Linked DNA regions of Daphnia pulex. The protein of the gene in region 2 interacts with the protein of the main gene of each other region in a biochemical or structural test. Links are inferred from orthologs where the notes say so. Each region holds a gene or a part of one and is shown on either strand. Other genes may lie near its edges.

The links.
Region 1: the proteins of mitogen-activated protein kinase kinase kinase 4-like (region 2) and dual specificity mitogen-activated protein kinase kinase 4-like form a complex in vitro, tested with the Homo sapiens proteins (2 studies listed by BioGRID, with this or other methods). The link is inferred for Daphnia pulex from reciprocal best matches to the Homo sapiens genes MAP3K4 and MAP2K4.

What each region holds. Positions count from the first base shown.
Region 1 is NC_060023.1:2,020,211-2,028,026, reverse strand, and holds the start of dual specificity mitogen-activated protein kinase kinase 4-like, read left to right. Parts: upstream 1-3,571; 5' UTR 3,572-5,684; coding exon 5,685-5,880; intron 5,881-6,002; coding exon 6,003-6,105; intron 6,106-6,166; coding exon 6,167-6,230; intron 6,231-6,303; coding exon 6,304-6,417; intron 6,418-6,483; coding exon 6,484-6,603; intron 6,604-6,678; coding exon 6,679-6,798; intron 6,799-6,873; coding exon 6,874-7,053; intron 7,054-7,141; coding exon 7,142-7,285; intron 7,286-7,372; coding exon 7,373-7,506; intron 7,507-7,571; coding exon 7,572-7,737; 3' UTR 7,738-7,816. Other genes in the region: uncharacterized protein LOC124197299, read left to right, coding at 1-70, 175-361, 432-506, 583-744, 984-1,034, 1,518-1,606, 1,681-1,877, 1,949-2,037 and 3 more. UniProt on the Homo sapiens protein: Dual specificity protein kinase which acts as an essential component of the MAP kinase signal transduction pathway. Essential component of the stress-activated protein kinase/c-Jun N-terminal kinase (SAP/JNK) signaling pathway.
Region 2 is NC_060017.1:6,265,831-6,273,546, forward strand, and holds the end of mitogen-activated protein kinase kinase kinase 4-like, read right to left. Parts: intron 7,683-7,716; coding exon 7,548-7,682; intron 7,489-7,547; coding exon 7,397-7,488; intron 7,333-7,396; coding exon 7,144-7,332; intron 7,073-7,143; coding exon 6,758-7,072; intron 6,688-6,757; coding exon 6,507-6,687; intron 6,440-6,506; coding exon 6,299-6,439; intron 6,235-6,298; coding exon 6,052-6,234; intron 6,003-6,051; exon of another isoform or gene 5,822-6,002; coding exon of another isoform or gene 5,533-5,821; intron 5,472-5,532; coding exon of another isoform or gene 5,212-5,471; intron 5,154-5,211; coding exon of another isoform or gene 5,022-5,153; intron 4,964-5,021; coding exon of another isoform or gene 4,815-4,963; intron 4,749-4,814; coding exon of another isoform or gene 4,615-4,748; intron 4,547-4,614; coding exon of another isoform or gene 4,408-4,546; intron 4,337-4,407; coding exon of another isoform or gene 4,119-4,336; intron 4,054-4,118; coding exon of another isoform or gene 3,920-4,053; intron 3,856-3,919; coding exon of another isoform or gene 3,728-3,855; intron 3,649-3,727; coding exon of another isoform or gene 3,420-3,648; exon of another isoform or gene 3,314-3,419; intron 2,945-3,313; coding exon 2,588-2,944; intron 2,515-2,587; coding exon 2,392-2,514; and 8 more. Other genes in the region: fibrinogen C domain-containing protein 1-like, read left to right, coding at 3,420-3,648, 3,728-3,855, 3,920-4,053, 4,119-4,336, 4,408-4,546, 4,615-4,748, 4,815-4,963, 5,022-5,153 and 2 more. UniProt on the Homo sapiens protein: Component of a protein kinase signal transduction cascade. Activates the CSBP2, P38 and JNK MAPK pathways, but not the ERK pathway. Specifically phosphorylates and activates MAP2K4 and MAP2K6.

The DNA.
Region 1 (7,816 bases), on a different chromosome or scaffold from region 2:
TGGTGGATCGATTGATGGACAACTCGAATCGGAGGCAGTACGGAATGGGCGTCGTCGGTCGGATGACGAGGTGATTTTTCATTGATTTTTTTGTTCTCCTGGATTATTGTCTGTCGGAATCGACCGGAATAAAAATTTTAAAAATACAAAAATTCAAATGTCCAAAACGAACAGGCGATCGCTGCGCCAGTCGATGACGGAGAGCAACAAACATTTGAAGCGACAGTTGGACTCGTTCGAGGACCACCGTCCCTATTTCACTTACTGGACCTGCACCGTCCAGGTGCTCATCATGTTCATCGCCCTCATCACTTATGGATTGGGACCTATCGGTTTCAATCTGCACCGACGCTCCGGATCGGTTGGTTTTCCCCCCATCTCATCCGTCTGAAATGAAAATTTAAAATTTAATTCCACGAAAAAATTCCCAGGTACTCGTGACCAGTTTATCTCTGCAAGAAGTCGACTATTACGAGCCTTCCAATTTCTACATCGGACCGAGAGCGGTACGTTTTTATTCTTTTTTGTTTTACTTCCCCCAATTACATCCGGAATTTGATTTGATTTTTTAAATTTTTCCAGGCGGATCTGATCCACCTGGGCGCTAAATACAGTCCGTGCATGAAGCCGGACACGCGGATCGGGGCGGACATTGAAGCCACCCGGATGCGTGAACGACAGACGGCCTGCTGCATCCGCAATGATAATTCGGGTTGCGTTCAGACATCCAGGGCCGAGTGTTCGGTAAAAATGAATTTAATTACCGATTTTAAAAAGCTCTTTTTCAAAATTGTTACAAAACATTTTATCATCCGTCATCTTATTTTTACTTTTCATTCAAATTGAATGGTTCAATGGGCCGGGGGGCAGGGCTGGGCAACATTTCCATTCGTTTGTTGAAAAATGGGACGGAATTAATTTTAATGATATTAAGATTTGTTGTTTTCGAGTGAGTTACTAATCGCAAGTCTCCGACGAAACAGTCTCTTCCCTCTGTGCCGCCTTATCACAACACGGAGCGCGGAATTGGCACGGTACAACAACCACAACAACACAAACACACACAAAACAAATGAACCCAAAACCATTTCATTTTTGTTTATTTTAAATTCAAACCAACCGAAATTCCTTGGAATTTAATTTTTTTCAGTTTTTCAACCTCCAATCGACCGAGTTCGTTCGTTTTAAAAATTTTATTTAGTTCCTTCCGCATCGCCGTCGTCTGTATATATCTACTCCCGTCAAAACACACACACAATTTTTATTTTAAAAATTTTATTTCAACCGAGAAACATCCCGTTTAGCTTGATTGGTGTCGTCTGTGTCTTAAAAAAAGATTTGATACAAAAATCTTGTTCAGTTTCATCCATTTTTATTTTTATGGGTTTCATTATTTCCATCCATTTCCTTCCTGTTTGTTTGTTTCTTTTAAAATCCGTTTCTTGTTAAAACTTTTCAATATTTTATTCCATGTTCTCTTTTGTTTTCTTCTTTCCTCCATGGACAAAACCATCCAGGATTTGACTTCGACTTGGAAAAAGTGGAATGTCGTTCAGTCTGGACCCGGTGGGCGGATATCCGGCTCCGTTTGCGGCCAGGATCCAAAGTAATATATTTTGTTTTAATTGATTATTTGAATAAAATTAATAAATTTTTGTTTGTTTTTTTTCCTCCCTTTAGTTTTTGTATAGAACCAGCGTCAGTGGCGCCGTTCGAATGGCCGGACGACATCACCAAATGGCCGAAATGCCGCAAAAAACTGCCCGGTTTAGGGGGATCCGGGTCGGAATCAAAGTCGAATGCCAATCAGGTGTTGAAGACGACCGGACAGGCCGATCACATGGTCTGCGAAGTCATCGGACACCCGTGCTGCATTGGTAAAACTGAATTAAAATACCAACCAATTTGAATTTAAAATTCCAATTTTCCGTCCGTCCAATCCCGTCAGGTATTCACGGCGAATGCCGGATCGCCACTCGCGAGTATTGCGACTTTGTCAAAGGCTATTTCCATCAGGAAGCCTCCCTATGCTCTCAGGTAAGATCCGTTTGGTTTTAATTGCCAGCTGGACGTTTTTTAAATTAATTCAAATAAAAATTGAATTTGACAGGTGTCTTGCATGAACGACGTTTGCGGTATGCTGCCTTTCCACACGCCCGACTTTGCCGACCAATTTTACAGACTGTGGACGTCGCTGTTCCTGCACGCCGGCATCCTTCACCTGGCCGTCTCGGTCACCTTCCAGATGATTATCATGCGCGACCTGGAGAAGTTGGCCGGACCCCTGCGCATCGGCATCATCTACCTGGGCTCCGGTGTCGTTGGCAACCTCGCCTCGGCCTTGTTTGTGCCATACAGAGCCGAGGTCCGTCCCCATCTTGCCCGTTCATTTTTGAATGAAATGAATGAATTCAAAATTTACACATTTACCATTTTTTGGGGGGATTATTAGGTGGGTCCGTCCGGTTCGCATTTTGGTTTACTCGCCTGCCTCTGCGTCGAAGTGCTGCACGCCTGGCCGCTACTTCGGACGCCCTGGCGGGCACTCGGCCGGCTCCTCATGACGGTCGCCTTCCTCTTCGTCGCCGGACTTTTGCCCTGGGTCGACAATTTCGCTCACATTTTCGGGTAAATTTCCATTTTGGAATTCAAAATTTAAACAAATTTCATTGAATTTTTGGTGCCGGGCACAGGTTCATTTCGGGCGGACTGCTCTCGTACACTTTCCTGCCGTTCATCACGGTGGGCGTGTACGACCGCCGGCGCAAGTTGGTGCTGATTGGCGTCACGCTGACGCTGGCCGCCATCCTGCTCACCACACTCGTCCTACTCCTCTACGTGTGGCCCATCCAGGATTCCGGCGTCATCCAAACGCTCGGCTACCTCAACTGCGTGCCCATCACGCGCGATTTCTGCGCCGAGCAGAACATCCACTTTAGCAAGCGGGAAGTCAACATCCTCTGAGGAAACCCCCCTTCCCCCCACTCCTCACTCTCTACCCATTCCCCTCCTCCTCCTCCAAAACGGACAAAAAATGTTAAATTTTTTTTTAAATTAATTTTCAAATTCACACGCAAGAAATTTTTGTTGAACGGCCACCGGAAATAGAAAAAATTTGGACGGACATGCCCGTCTCCATCTCGTGTTGCTGTTATACTTTTTAGTGTACGAAAAGAAAAATTCACTGGACACACCTCACACACATGGATACAATGTCACATGGACACACACAGCGCATAATTCTCTTAAATGAAATTGAATTGCAAAAGAAAAAGAAAATGTTCATCGTAGGTCTCTCTCTTTCTCACTTGATTTGTTGATTTGTTAATTTCTCAACGTACGTGACGGTTATAATTAGAACCCCCCTTCATTCCCGAAAATGTTTGTCAATTTCATTTGATTTCTCCCCCCTCCAACTTTGTGCGAGTGCTCGGTGTGTTTCTAATTCTTCTGTCTTGTTGATTGTTTCCCTAAATTTTTTATTTGGAACATTTTCATTCGGAATTTCATTTTTTAGGTCCCCCCTATAAAAACATTTCGGCGCAGGATTTGAAAAATAAAATTTTGAATTCCCTTTGTCCGTGAAATGAACCTGTCGATTCCCCGTTCTCGCCATTTCAGTTGACACTGCAGGAAATTTAAAAAAAGGTGAAGAGAAGAAAAACTCAAAAAAGTGATGAAATTTTTTCTTTCGTTTGAAATTGAATTAATTATGCAGCCCCCCCCCCTCTGGAGTCGATTTGTCAACCGTCTCAAACCAGTAGCTCTCTAATATCTTTTTTTTCGAATTTTTATTGACCCCGGAAAACAATTTTTCTAAGAAAAAAGCAAAAAGAAATGAAAACTAAAATTTGATTTCAATTTTCGTTTCATTATTTTTTTCAATTTTTCTCGTGTGGGTGTACATGTCTGTGTTTCTGTTCAATCCCCCCTTGTAATATCCCCCCCCCCCCCCCCAGCCGTTAAAGATGACTTCATTTCATCCCTTCGCTGATTGTATACAAACACGTTACATTCGTCTTTAAAACAAAAAGAAAGAAAAATCCCTCCTTCCCCTGGTTATCTCTCTCTCAAAAAAAGAACAAACTTGTTTCTTCTGCTCTATCTCTCTCTAGCTCTTAATTCATTTCTCTCTCTATATCTCTCTCTCTCTCCTCTTTATTTCTGTGTGTGCTGAACAACTATTGTCTTGATTTGATCGTTATTCTACAATGAACATTTTGATTTCCCGTTTCAAAGCGAAACGGGAAAGACAAAGAAGAAAAACCCCCAAAAAAAATGATTTTTTTGTCCGTGTGCTGGTGTATACGTTATATACAAAACAAAACCAAAAAAAACAAACAATTATAAGAGATAACTTGAACAAGAACCATTTACGACACCCAATCTATTCGACAGGTTGATTTTCACCAACGTTGAAAAAAAAAATTTTTTCATCCGGCCGGAATTCTTCCGGAATTTTTTTTTCATCCACCCGGAACTCTTCCGGATTTTTTTTTTTTAGATTTTTTTTATTTGAAAAAAAAATCTCGCACGATCAATAATATTACAGCCGGAAGAGTATTAGAGTTTCCAATGTTTGACTGCGGGCGTTGCCTAGCGCTGGACTCTGTGGCGGCAAAAGTAAAGAGCGCCAAATGTAGCGTGATTCGAATAATTGTTATTAGTATTTTTCGGTAAACTTTCCCGCGGGATAAACTTCTTGGATCGAAAAACCCAACGGTAACAACTGAATCGAGTCGATGAATATCGTCGGGATGACGGCTTGATTATTAGATAAGATCCGCCCGTCGGCTGACGTACACGACCTACACTTTATTGGATGAATCCTTATTTATTTTTTTGAAAAGAAACAAAATGTCTGACTCGTGCGTCCTGTTTCGCAAGGTGTACATTCGAGTCACGCATAGTTCAATCTCATGGGCGTCACAGTTTCATTTATTTATCTCAAGTAAGACTTTACGTCATTATTTATTTATCTATTTACGCAACCGCATCGAGTTCGAAATACAATTTTTTTTTTCTTTTTTAAAAGTTAAAAAAATATTCCAACCACAAAAAATGAAGAAAAATAAAATACTAAAATTACTTTAACCTCCCCCAAGGACTTGTCTGCCTTCCAGGGTAAAAACTAAAAAGCGTCTGACAGTTCCAATATTTTTAATGGCTGGTGTATATCACGTGCTCTTTAGTTCCTATCATGAAATAAGATAACAAAAGAATTCCCGAGCTGAAGGATAATTAGATCAACCTCCTCACATTCTCTACTGTGTTTTTTTTAGAGAAATCAAATAGACGAGTAGTAACGTACCTGCGCGCGCATAAATCAAAGAGTGGTTGCCGTAACCGATTCGTTGGAAAGAAATCGATTACTTGACTATCGATAATCTCTGGCCCCACTGACACAAAGTTTTTCCCAACTTCACCATTTCACGAGAGATGGGAAGATCGGCTTAACGTAAATTTTTGTTTCCTTTTTTATCGGTCGTGTGGGCGACACTCGATGGACACACGAGTGGCATTTCTATTTGCTGCACGCCCGTCATCAAAAGGAGAAATCAAACCGAGCTAGTTTTTAGTATTTTTTCGAATGAATGACGTCTTTTGCCGCAGCCCTCTCTCGAGCAATCGCCGCGTAACAAAAAGTTTTTAGGGCTCCCCTTTGGTGTGTGTGTGTGTGGTGCATGTGTGTGTGTGTGTGTTTGTTTGATTTTTCACACGCACTTACCTCACTCACGAAGCCCGAGTTTTTTTTCTTTCCTATTTCGTGTGTGTTGTTTGTGTGTGTGTGTGTATCACCCAGTTTAATCCTGCCGTCAAAGGCAGAGAGTGCAACCGAGTGCAAATCAGGCGCCAACATGTCGACAGAAGAGCAGCAAGGTATTCATTTGCATTTGTGAAATTATTAATTAGCTGTTTTTTTCTCGTGTAAGTGGGGGGTGTGTTGAGGTCCTTTTTTTTGTGGGTTTCTTACGATGATGGATTGGTTTTCTCATTCACAGCGGAGGACAAACGAAGCAGGCTGAGGCCCCTCTCATTCTCTGGATTGCCAACCAAATGTCTTTCGCCCAGCAGTGCAATCGCTCCCATTCACTCTTTTCCAATGTAAGTCTTTGCTCAGTGACAGCATCTCCCCGATTTGTGAAATCTTTACGTTTGTTTGCAGGGAAAAGTGGAAAATAACTGATGTCAACAATTCCCCAGGAAAGCTGCAGATATCCCCTGAATTGGTACGAGATGATGCTCATACTTTAGAGTGACAGCGTAGGTGTTAACAATCACTGTTTTTTCCCATTGTCATAGGTGTATGATTTCACAGCTGAAGACCTGGAAGACATGGGTGAAATTGGTAGAGGAAACTTTGGTAGTGTCAATAAAATGCTCCATATCAAAACAAATACCGTCATGGCTGTCAAGGTACAAATTGAAATTGGTTGCATGGCTCTTGTACTCAACAGCCAACTTTATGTGTTTCCTCTGCAGAGAATCCGTTCCACTGTCGATGAAAAAGAACAGAAACAATTACTGATGGACCTTGAAGTTGTTATGAGAAGCAATAACTGCCCATTTATTGTACTATTTTATGGAGCCCTTTTTACTGAGGTATAAAACATTTAAAAGGTTTTTTTTCTTTCTTTACAAAAAAATAGTTTAACACTTTTGGGGAATGTTTTACAGGGAGACTGTTGGATCTGCATGGAACTAATGGATATTTCTCTGGACAAGTTCTACCGTTTTACCCACCAGCGACTCAAGGAAAAGATTCCTGAATCCATCCTCGGGAAAATGGCCCTTGCAGTAAGCCTCCAATTCAACCTATTTGTTGTGCGATTGATTTATGCATGATGTTTGCTTTTGTCCTTGTGTGCCCAGACTGTCCAGGCCCTAAACTACTTGAAGGAGAACTTGGAGATTATTCATCGTGATGTCAAACCTTCCAACATTCTAATGGACAGGCGCGGAAGCATCAAATTGTGTGACTTTGGCATTTCGGGACAGCTGGTGGACTCGATTGCCAAGACCAGAGATGCTGGCTGCCGACCCTACATGGCTGTAATGAAGCAATTTATATTTATAAACCAACTAGTCCAGCCACCTTATAACTAATTTCCGATCGTTCTCTCTCGTGTTACACACACAGCCCGAAAGGATCGATCCCCAATCTTCCGCTCGAGGCTACGATATACGCAGTGACGTCTGGTCACTGGGTATCACCTTGATCGAAATAGCCACCGGCAAGTTCCCCTATCCTCACTGGAACTCTGTGTTTGATCAGCTGACGCAGGTATCACATTTTGATCTTTCTCCCCTCTTTGGACGTGCTTCTCATTCCCGACTCGTTCTCGTATTACATCATCGTCAAAAATAAAAGGTGGTGCACGGAGATCCGCCCAGATTGATATCCAGCTACAGCAAGAGCCCCACCAATAATGCGGGCTCCAAGAATGGAAACTTGATTCAAGAATGTCCATTTTCCGACGAGTTTGTCAATCTTGTCAACACTTGGTGAGTTATTCCCCTATTTTTATGGCTAGTAGAAAGAATTTATAACAAAATCGTTTTTTTTCCAGCATGCAGAAAGAAGCCCGACAGCGACCAAAGTACTCGAAGCTTCTGCAACATCCGTTCTTGTTGGCCAGCCAGGCCGAGCAAGTCGACGTGAGCGCCTACGTCGACAACATCCTACAGCGCATCAAGACCCTCGGTTTGACGGTCGCCGACTTGCAAATGGATTAAGTTTACAACTACTTTTTTTTTTCCTAAGTTTTGAATTTAAAAAAAAAAATCCATTTCTTGTTCCATGCAAGGTTTTCCG
Region 2 (7,716 bases):
TTCTTTTGGGCGTCTAATAAGTACTAAATGAAGTACTAACTCCTTTAAAATCCAAAAGTAGACAAGCAAATTACCAAAGTCTAACAAGTGAGCTTTGTGGCTTACGGTCAGTTGTCACACAAAATTATCTAACATTAACTGCCGAAAACTGAAAATGAAAAGGATCCCTGCTCTAGCTAAATCAAGACATACTACTAAAGTAAGAAAAAACATAACAAACAAAAACAGGTAATAATAAACCTAATACTCACGCAATACTGCTACATTATCATAACCACAGTTATTTATTTTAAGGTGTTATTCTCTGGAAAGAATGTTTTCCAAAATTCTGATCATGATCAAAAGAAGAAGTAAAAGGAATTAGTATAAACTTTATAGTACAACTTACAGTAAAACTTACACCACGAATACACAAATATGAAGAGAATTCCAGTTGGATATTTTGCATTTGTTTCAATCATTATTCTCTTTCTTTGCAATTGAAGAACAGCCTGGATCATGCTATTTTCCTTTCACAAGGATCTCACTGTTTCAAAAATTCAGACATAAGAATTGATGAGTGTGAATTGCAAGTCAAGGAAATAAAAAATACTAATTGTTCAATCAACTACGCAGAATACCTATAATGTTGGTTTCACACTTAATCTGCTTTACCACATTACATTATGCTATTTAACAAACTTTTTGAAATGTTTAATAGTTCACTTTATACTGCATCGAAACGTGAAAAACAGCAACTAACCGTGCACTAACCATGGCAGTCATTGTTGTTATTAAACTGCAGTGGCACCTGGTGGCCAGGACTTTCCATTGATAGGAAAAGGGTGTGAAGAAGGTAGGGGCTAAAGGGCTAGTCTATGCCCCAGAATTGAAAACAAATCTGGCCGCCAGATGTCCTCAGTGTCCAAGCCATAACATTGTCACTTTGTCAGGCTGTCAGCTTGTTAGCGGTTTTTGCGGTTGTTGATCTGCGTTAGCAATAGCCAATAGCAAGCAAAGGGCTTTTTGTGATTTTTTTTCATTAAAAAAAAATCAAAACAGATATTAAAACAATAAACGACAAATATCCTTTTCATTAAGGACTTAAGGTTTAAATTAAAATACCTAACCTGTGTGTGCTTATAAACAGCATCACACTTGGTCCCTGAATTTCGAATTTTTAAAAACAAAGCTAACACGTACAATAACACTGCGCCACTGCTTGTCAACAACCTTCAATAGATCGAGTTGCTATAAGCAACACGAATGAAGTTTAGGTATGTTACCCGGAAGTTTTCTTTACCTTGCGTGGTGCCGTTTGCGACCTAGGCGTCGTGGACGATGGCATCAGGAGTGGCAGATGCACTTAGGAATAATGCTATGCCGCGTTCAACACGAGGTATTTCTCTTCTGACACCTCGCTCACCTATTCGACTGCTCGTTTTCAGTGGAACGAAACCTTTGATTGGCTGTCATCAGGTAGGAATCACTGTTTCTTTCAAATTACCCGAAGCCGAAGGATGTCTGATTTAGTGATTTGTCCGAGTGACTTTGGTGGTTTTTACATTAACAATTTAAGGGTATATGAATGTGAGATTTGCTTATTAAAAATCCAATTTCATAAGTTTTAAAAAGGGAAAAAATGTGAAATATATATTTTTAAAATTCATTATGTAATATTACCTATATTATTATCCTATCAAATACGTAATGCTACTATTTTAACGGGGGAAATCGTTCAATCAAACGAATATTATTTTATATACGAGAAGTATAATAATAGGAGGAATGTATGTATAATAGACAATACAAGGAACTAAGTAGTTTACAAAATCACAACTTTTTTAAACAGTTGCACGGCTAATGTTTCGATAAACTAGAAACCGGATGACGAATCACTGCAGAGTATAAAGGGTCGTCTTCCTGATAGACCTAATGATCACCAGAAAGGTCAAAAATGATTCTGACGATGAATGACTAAAAATGACTTACTTTTAGAAAATTGTGTTCAAGCAGATTAGCTGCGCTTTCTCTTTGTTTCGGATCATGTTGAAGAAGATGAGATAGAAACGCTTGGCCCTCTTCACTGAGCGTAAGTGGCGTAGGAGGTACTTCTCCCATCCCAACTTTGAACATAATAGCGTAATTTGATTCGAGTTCATACCAAGGCCTCTATAATGTGCAAAAGGAAAAACATTTTATGAGTTTTCCAAACACTCTCGCTGATTTCGATTACTTTTCCTGTTGCCATTTCTATCACTACACAACCCACACTCCAGATGTCGGCCGCGCGTCCGTGGCCCTCAGTCATCGTATGCATAAAAACCTCCGGAGCCATGAATGCTAATAAATTTGGATTAAAATTTAATTATTATTTTTTTGTTGTTGATATGAAAATGAAAATTCTTTTACCTTGAGTGCCAACAAAACCTTGCAGTTCTCCAAACATGGTCGTTTGCGATTTGATTTTAGCGGCACAACCAAAATCACCTAATTTTAAACAATTGCCAACGTCGGTAAGAAAAATGTTGGCACCTGAAACAAGTAATTTACATAAAATAAGAGTTCACGTTCCAGTTTATCACGGCGAATGTTCTCAATTACATACCCTTAATGTCTCTATGCACGATTCCATTTTCGTGTAAGACAGTGACGGCTTCGAGAAGTTGTCGAGTGAAACGTCGAATGAGTTCTTCGGGTAGACCTGTCTCAGTTGAAGCAACTAAATGCTCCAGTGTTCCTTCCGGACAGAATTCCATAAATATGATCATTTCTTCTCGATGGATCTCCAAACCGTAGTAACGCACGAGATGCGGGTGATGGATGCCTTCAAAGATGTGCAATTCATCCGCTACACTGCGAATGGTCCGATGATCGTTGGGCTGTAATGCAATCTCTTTCATGGCCATCAATTCGCCAGTTTTATTGTTGACAGCTACGTAAACTTTGCCAAAACGTCCTTGTCCTGTGAAAACCCATCAGAAAAAAAATATATAGCTATTGAAATTCTTCTAACTTGAATTTGAAGGAGATCTCTAGCTTAACGCGTTGGTAAATATAGCTTCTCTTCCACGGAGTGGAGAGCAACTGTCAGGGTGACGCAAATAGATAAATGGACATTTTCAATTTCGGTTCCCTCTGCCGCCTACAAGCTAACGTCTCCGTTTGTTGTTTAGGCCCATTCTCATTTTGAAAATGAGTATAAATAAATAACGTAAACATCCGGCGTTGCTGGTTGGGTCCTTGGTTGCTAGACGGCGTGCATGCGCTAGACAACCTTCGATCTGGCACCGACCGTCTTATATACAAAATACTGGAAATAGCACGCCAGACAGGCACAAGTCAAAACATTCGAGGCGTGGAAACTCGCCACCGAAACCAGCAGATAGAAACTCGAAACTGGAAAAGGGGCGATTAGTTTGGATACGGCCGTCCCGAAGATGGGTCGCTCCTCTGCTGCGCTGGCACGTCGCACCAGCAGCGGAGCAATACACTTGGCTTTGGTATTGTATCTGTTAAGTGTTCACTTCATCGGGATCGAAGCTCAACATGAAGATTCAGGGACCAGTTCTGAAGAGAGTCGAGCTGACGACCCGATAGGTCAAGAATCGGATACAAGTGAAATGCGGAGGCCGCGGCCTTTCAACTTGATCGCCCCACGGCCGGCTTGTGAGTTCCAGAATAAGCACGTAACATTTTTCAAATAACCCAAACATAATTGTATAAAAATGCTACAACTGTTTTCCAGCTAACGTAGTAGGAGTTTCAACTACTCCCCCAAGTCCAACATTAGCGGGAGGTATTCTCAACGATGTTGAACACGAACCAGGATTGGTTTGGCCTACGGTGACAATACCGGCAGCCACAACCCCGTCGGTATATTCGTTAGAATGTGTTATCCCTTAAAAATCAAGCTAACTGAGTATTGAATGGTTGTCAGACTTCGGATGAGAGCGGACCAACCTTGACCAGCGGTCGTCTCATGGCTCACCTTCAGCGAATCACAGAGAGGCTGTCATCGATGGAATCGCTACAAATTCAGACACTGCGCAAACTAGAGGGAATTGACTACCGGTCAGTCCTTTGCATCTAATAAGATCCATCAAAACCAATAACAGTTTTTTTTTATCTTCAATTAGTTTAACGCGTGTGGAAGTACAAATGCAAGAACGCGGAGACTCGGTGCGCAACCTGGCCGCCGACACTTCGAGGCGGCTGCAACAGTTAGAAAGCGATGTTGGACGAATTGAAACTCTACTAGATGTGGTGCGAGACGAGTCAGTTGCTATTCGTACCGGTCAGGCTGAGCTCAAACACATCATAACACAATCTGGTGGAGCCCAAGCACCGGCAAGAAGTAAAAAGACAAAAAAAAATCGCTACTTTGAATTATTAAATTTTGTTTAAATAACCCTATGTAACTAACAGTGACGGAAAGTGACGTTCCAGCTCCCCGTCTTCAAGTACTCTTGGCTGGAATGAACAGTCTTAGAACGACAACAAATAACCTACGGGATGAACTGTTACTTATCAGCAAGAACGTCAGTGTTATGGCCAACCTGACCAAGTAATTGTTTTAGAATAGCGAACAAAAAAGAAGCAGAAGCGACTGACATTCAATTGAATTTCTGTTAGAATTGTCGAAAAACGGAGCGATGATTTCGCTACAAAACAAGATCTGCATCGTGGAATTACTGCACTAAAGAGCCAAGATTCCACACCGGCCAGGACTCTTTCACATTTCATACAACCTGGCGCTTGTCCTTCCGGTATATTAAACTGATTTACTATTGCCAGACACTAATAATTAAGGTCATTTATTAACCTCTCCACAGAACGACCAAGTTTACCACGTGATTGTCACGATGCGCTTAATAAAGGTGGGCGCCACCTTATGTCGGGAATCCAACGGATTCAACCATTATCTTCATCTGCACCCTTTTTTGTTCAGTGTGACATGGAAACTCGCGGAGGAGGATGGACGGTATGGCTATTGATCATTAACAGTTATAATAATTTCTTAATATCTGCTTGTCTAATAGGTTATTCAAAATCGCTTTGATGGTTCAATTAATTTTCTACGGGGTTGGAATGATTACAAACAAGGATTTGGCAATATGGCCACCGAATTCTGGCTGGGTCTCGAAAAAATCCACATGATTACGAATCAAGGAGTGAGATTAAATTGCAAATTTGGGGAGTCTGTTCATTTCATTAGCGATTTTCTTTCAGGTCTACGAGCTTTTAATCGAACTGACAGATTTCGGTCTGAATCAAGCCACTGCCCACTACACCGCTTTTGCTATCGGGTCTGATGCTGAAGGTTACGACATTCGCCTACTGGGAACCTACGAGGGTGACGCGGGTGATTCCCTCTCGTACCATACATCCATGAAGTTCTCTACCGCAGACAACGATCAGGATCAATGGTTAGACGGAAACTGTGCTCGCGATCACACTGGAGGTTGGTGGTATCGAGGATGCGATACAAGGTATTCTTCGTCTTATATGAAACAAATATTGGTTTGTTAATTCTCCTGTTTGTTTTTTCAGCAACTTAAACGGGCAATATCTGAACGGCCCCGTACCTCAAGAATTTGAATACAAGGGGATGTACTGGTACGATTACCAGGGGCCTCAATACTCTTTAATGAAGTCTAGAATTATGATTCGACCCTTTTTCAATGCGGTTGTGCTAAGTGCACAACCGGGCGGAACTACAGTTAAGCCTCGATCTCCACAAGTACCGGCTCCACCCGGTAACCAGGGACGACCTACTTTCGGTCCAAAGTTACCGAATCAACAAAGCCAGAAGCCAAAGAAGAAAAAGGAGATGGAGTGATTGGGGGAAAAATATACATATATATATCTGACGCAGAAACAGAAGCTTTACAATTAACTGCCAACCGGCTGGCCCAGGTGGACAACGTGAGACGACTATTCTTCCTGGTCTTCCGACTTATAAACCCAACTGGGAAACCCATTTTTGACACTATAATACACAGACGCACCAGTACCAAAAAGGCCAAAACGTGTTTCAATGGGTACTATAATATCAGTAGCTTTTCTTACCTATTTTGACTCCACGCTGCCAAGAAAACTGGACGCTTTTGAGCCGGATGTGCCATTTCGCTTCTTTGGTTTGACGGGCTACGCGACCAATCAATGTAGCCTCCTCCAATGAAGCATCGCGCTGTGATTCAATTAAAAGCACAGAGCGGCAGACACGGTCCTTCCACGGCAAAACATCTCCGGCTACATAATGAATTCGATTACAGGTTGATATTCACGATTCTACCGTAACTCAAAAATCGATTACCAGAATCCCGTCGAGGTAGAGTAGGCAGCGAATTCGAAAGTCGTTCGTCATTGGAACACTGTAGAGACATCTTTCTTGAACTCATCGGGCTTTTCAAAGGAGAAAGAGTTTCTGCTGATAAACTGCTCGGGAAGACGGGCACTACGGAGGAGAAAAAAAGTCGGTTATTAGCATTGAGATTACCTTGGTTAAAAAAAAAATGACATACTAGAATTTTTTGAAAATCGGCGGACGACTGGAGAAGAAGTTTGCAATTTAGAACTTTGATCTAGTGATCCGATGATGTGATGAACACATTGACTAATCGACTCTTTCATTCTGCAAAATTCTTCGTCGGGGAGATGACAAGTTATGTCAGACTCGCAGGCCGTAACGAGAAATTCTAACCCCTTTTCCAAAATATGTAAAAGGTTAGGAGTTTTGGTTATTTTAATGCAAAGACAATTATTTACAATATACCTGAGTAGCCCATTTGGGTCTGAGACCACGACCGCGTTCGCTGTACTTCACGGTAAAGTTCATCCACAGATTGGCTAGTTTGACTACGTTGAGGGCTAGCTCAACGTTAGGCTTGCCAGAAACAAGACGTAGTACGTCTTTGTTAAATTCGAAGCCCAGTTTGAAGCAATGGCGGACCACTTCTTTCCAACGACTTATCAGTGGAGCCTGCTCCAGCGGGTCTAGAAGATGTACGTTTAGATGTTGGACACTGCACTTATTCACCACTTCTTCGATAGATTCAATGATGGTTTGGCTTAAGCAGATCACCTCATTCTAGAAAAATAAAACATTAAAACATTAACTATACAAACACTAATGAAATCAATTTTCTACTAACGCTGTACCTTGAGCTGAAGGAGAGATTCAGCAACCACATAGTTGGACGGCCTATTTTCGTAGCGTAATTCAAGACCTGGACCAAGAGACTCTTGTACTTCACGACGCCTGGCTGATAGATGAATGGCGTTGAAAACAATTAAGAGCAAAACTTCGCGCTGAACATGAGAACGGAGGATTGCATCGTCTCGCAGCGTCTAAAATATAAACTAGAATTTAGATATTCAATCGCTTATGCAGCATGAAATTAAGCTAGCGTACACGAATGCGAACTGTTTCACCCTTCCATAAAGTTTCGATAGTTTCTCCATCGGCAGTTTGCGTTTGAAGTAGTATCATGTAGCCCTCGTTCTCTAACAAAGCAAATGAATCAATGGTTGTTTATGGTCATTTTTGCAAGACTATCACATACCTGCATCATCTTCGCTGCTTTGGGAATAATTGGGAAGTGATTCTTCTTTACTGTCGTTGGACGGTGGAGGTGGTTCTGAACGAGAGGAGAGATCCAGGAGACAATGCAAGTACTCTCTATGACTTCGGAGACTTTCTGAAATAATAATAATAATAAGAACCATAGAGTT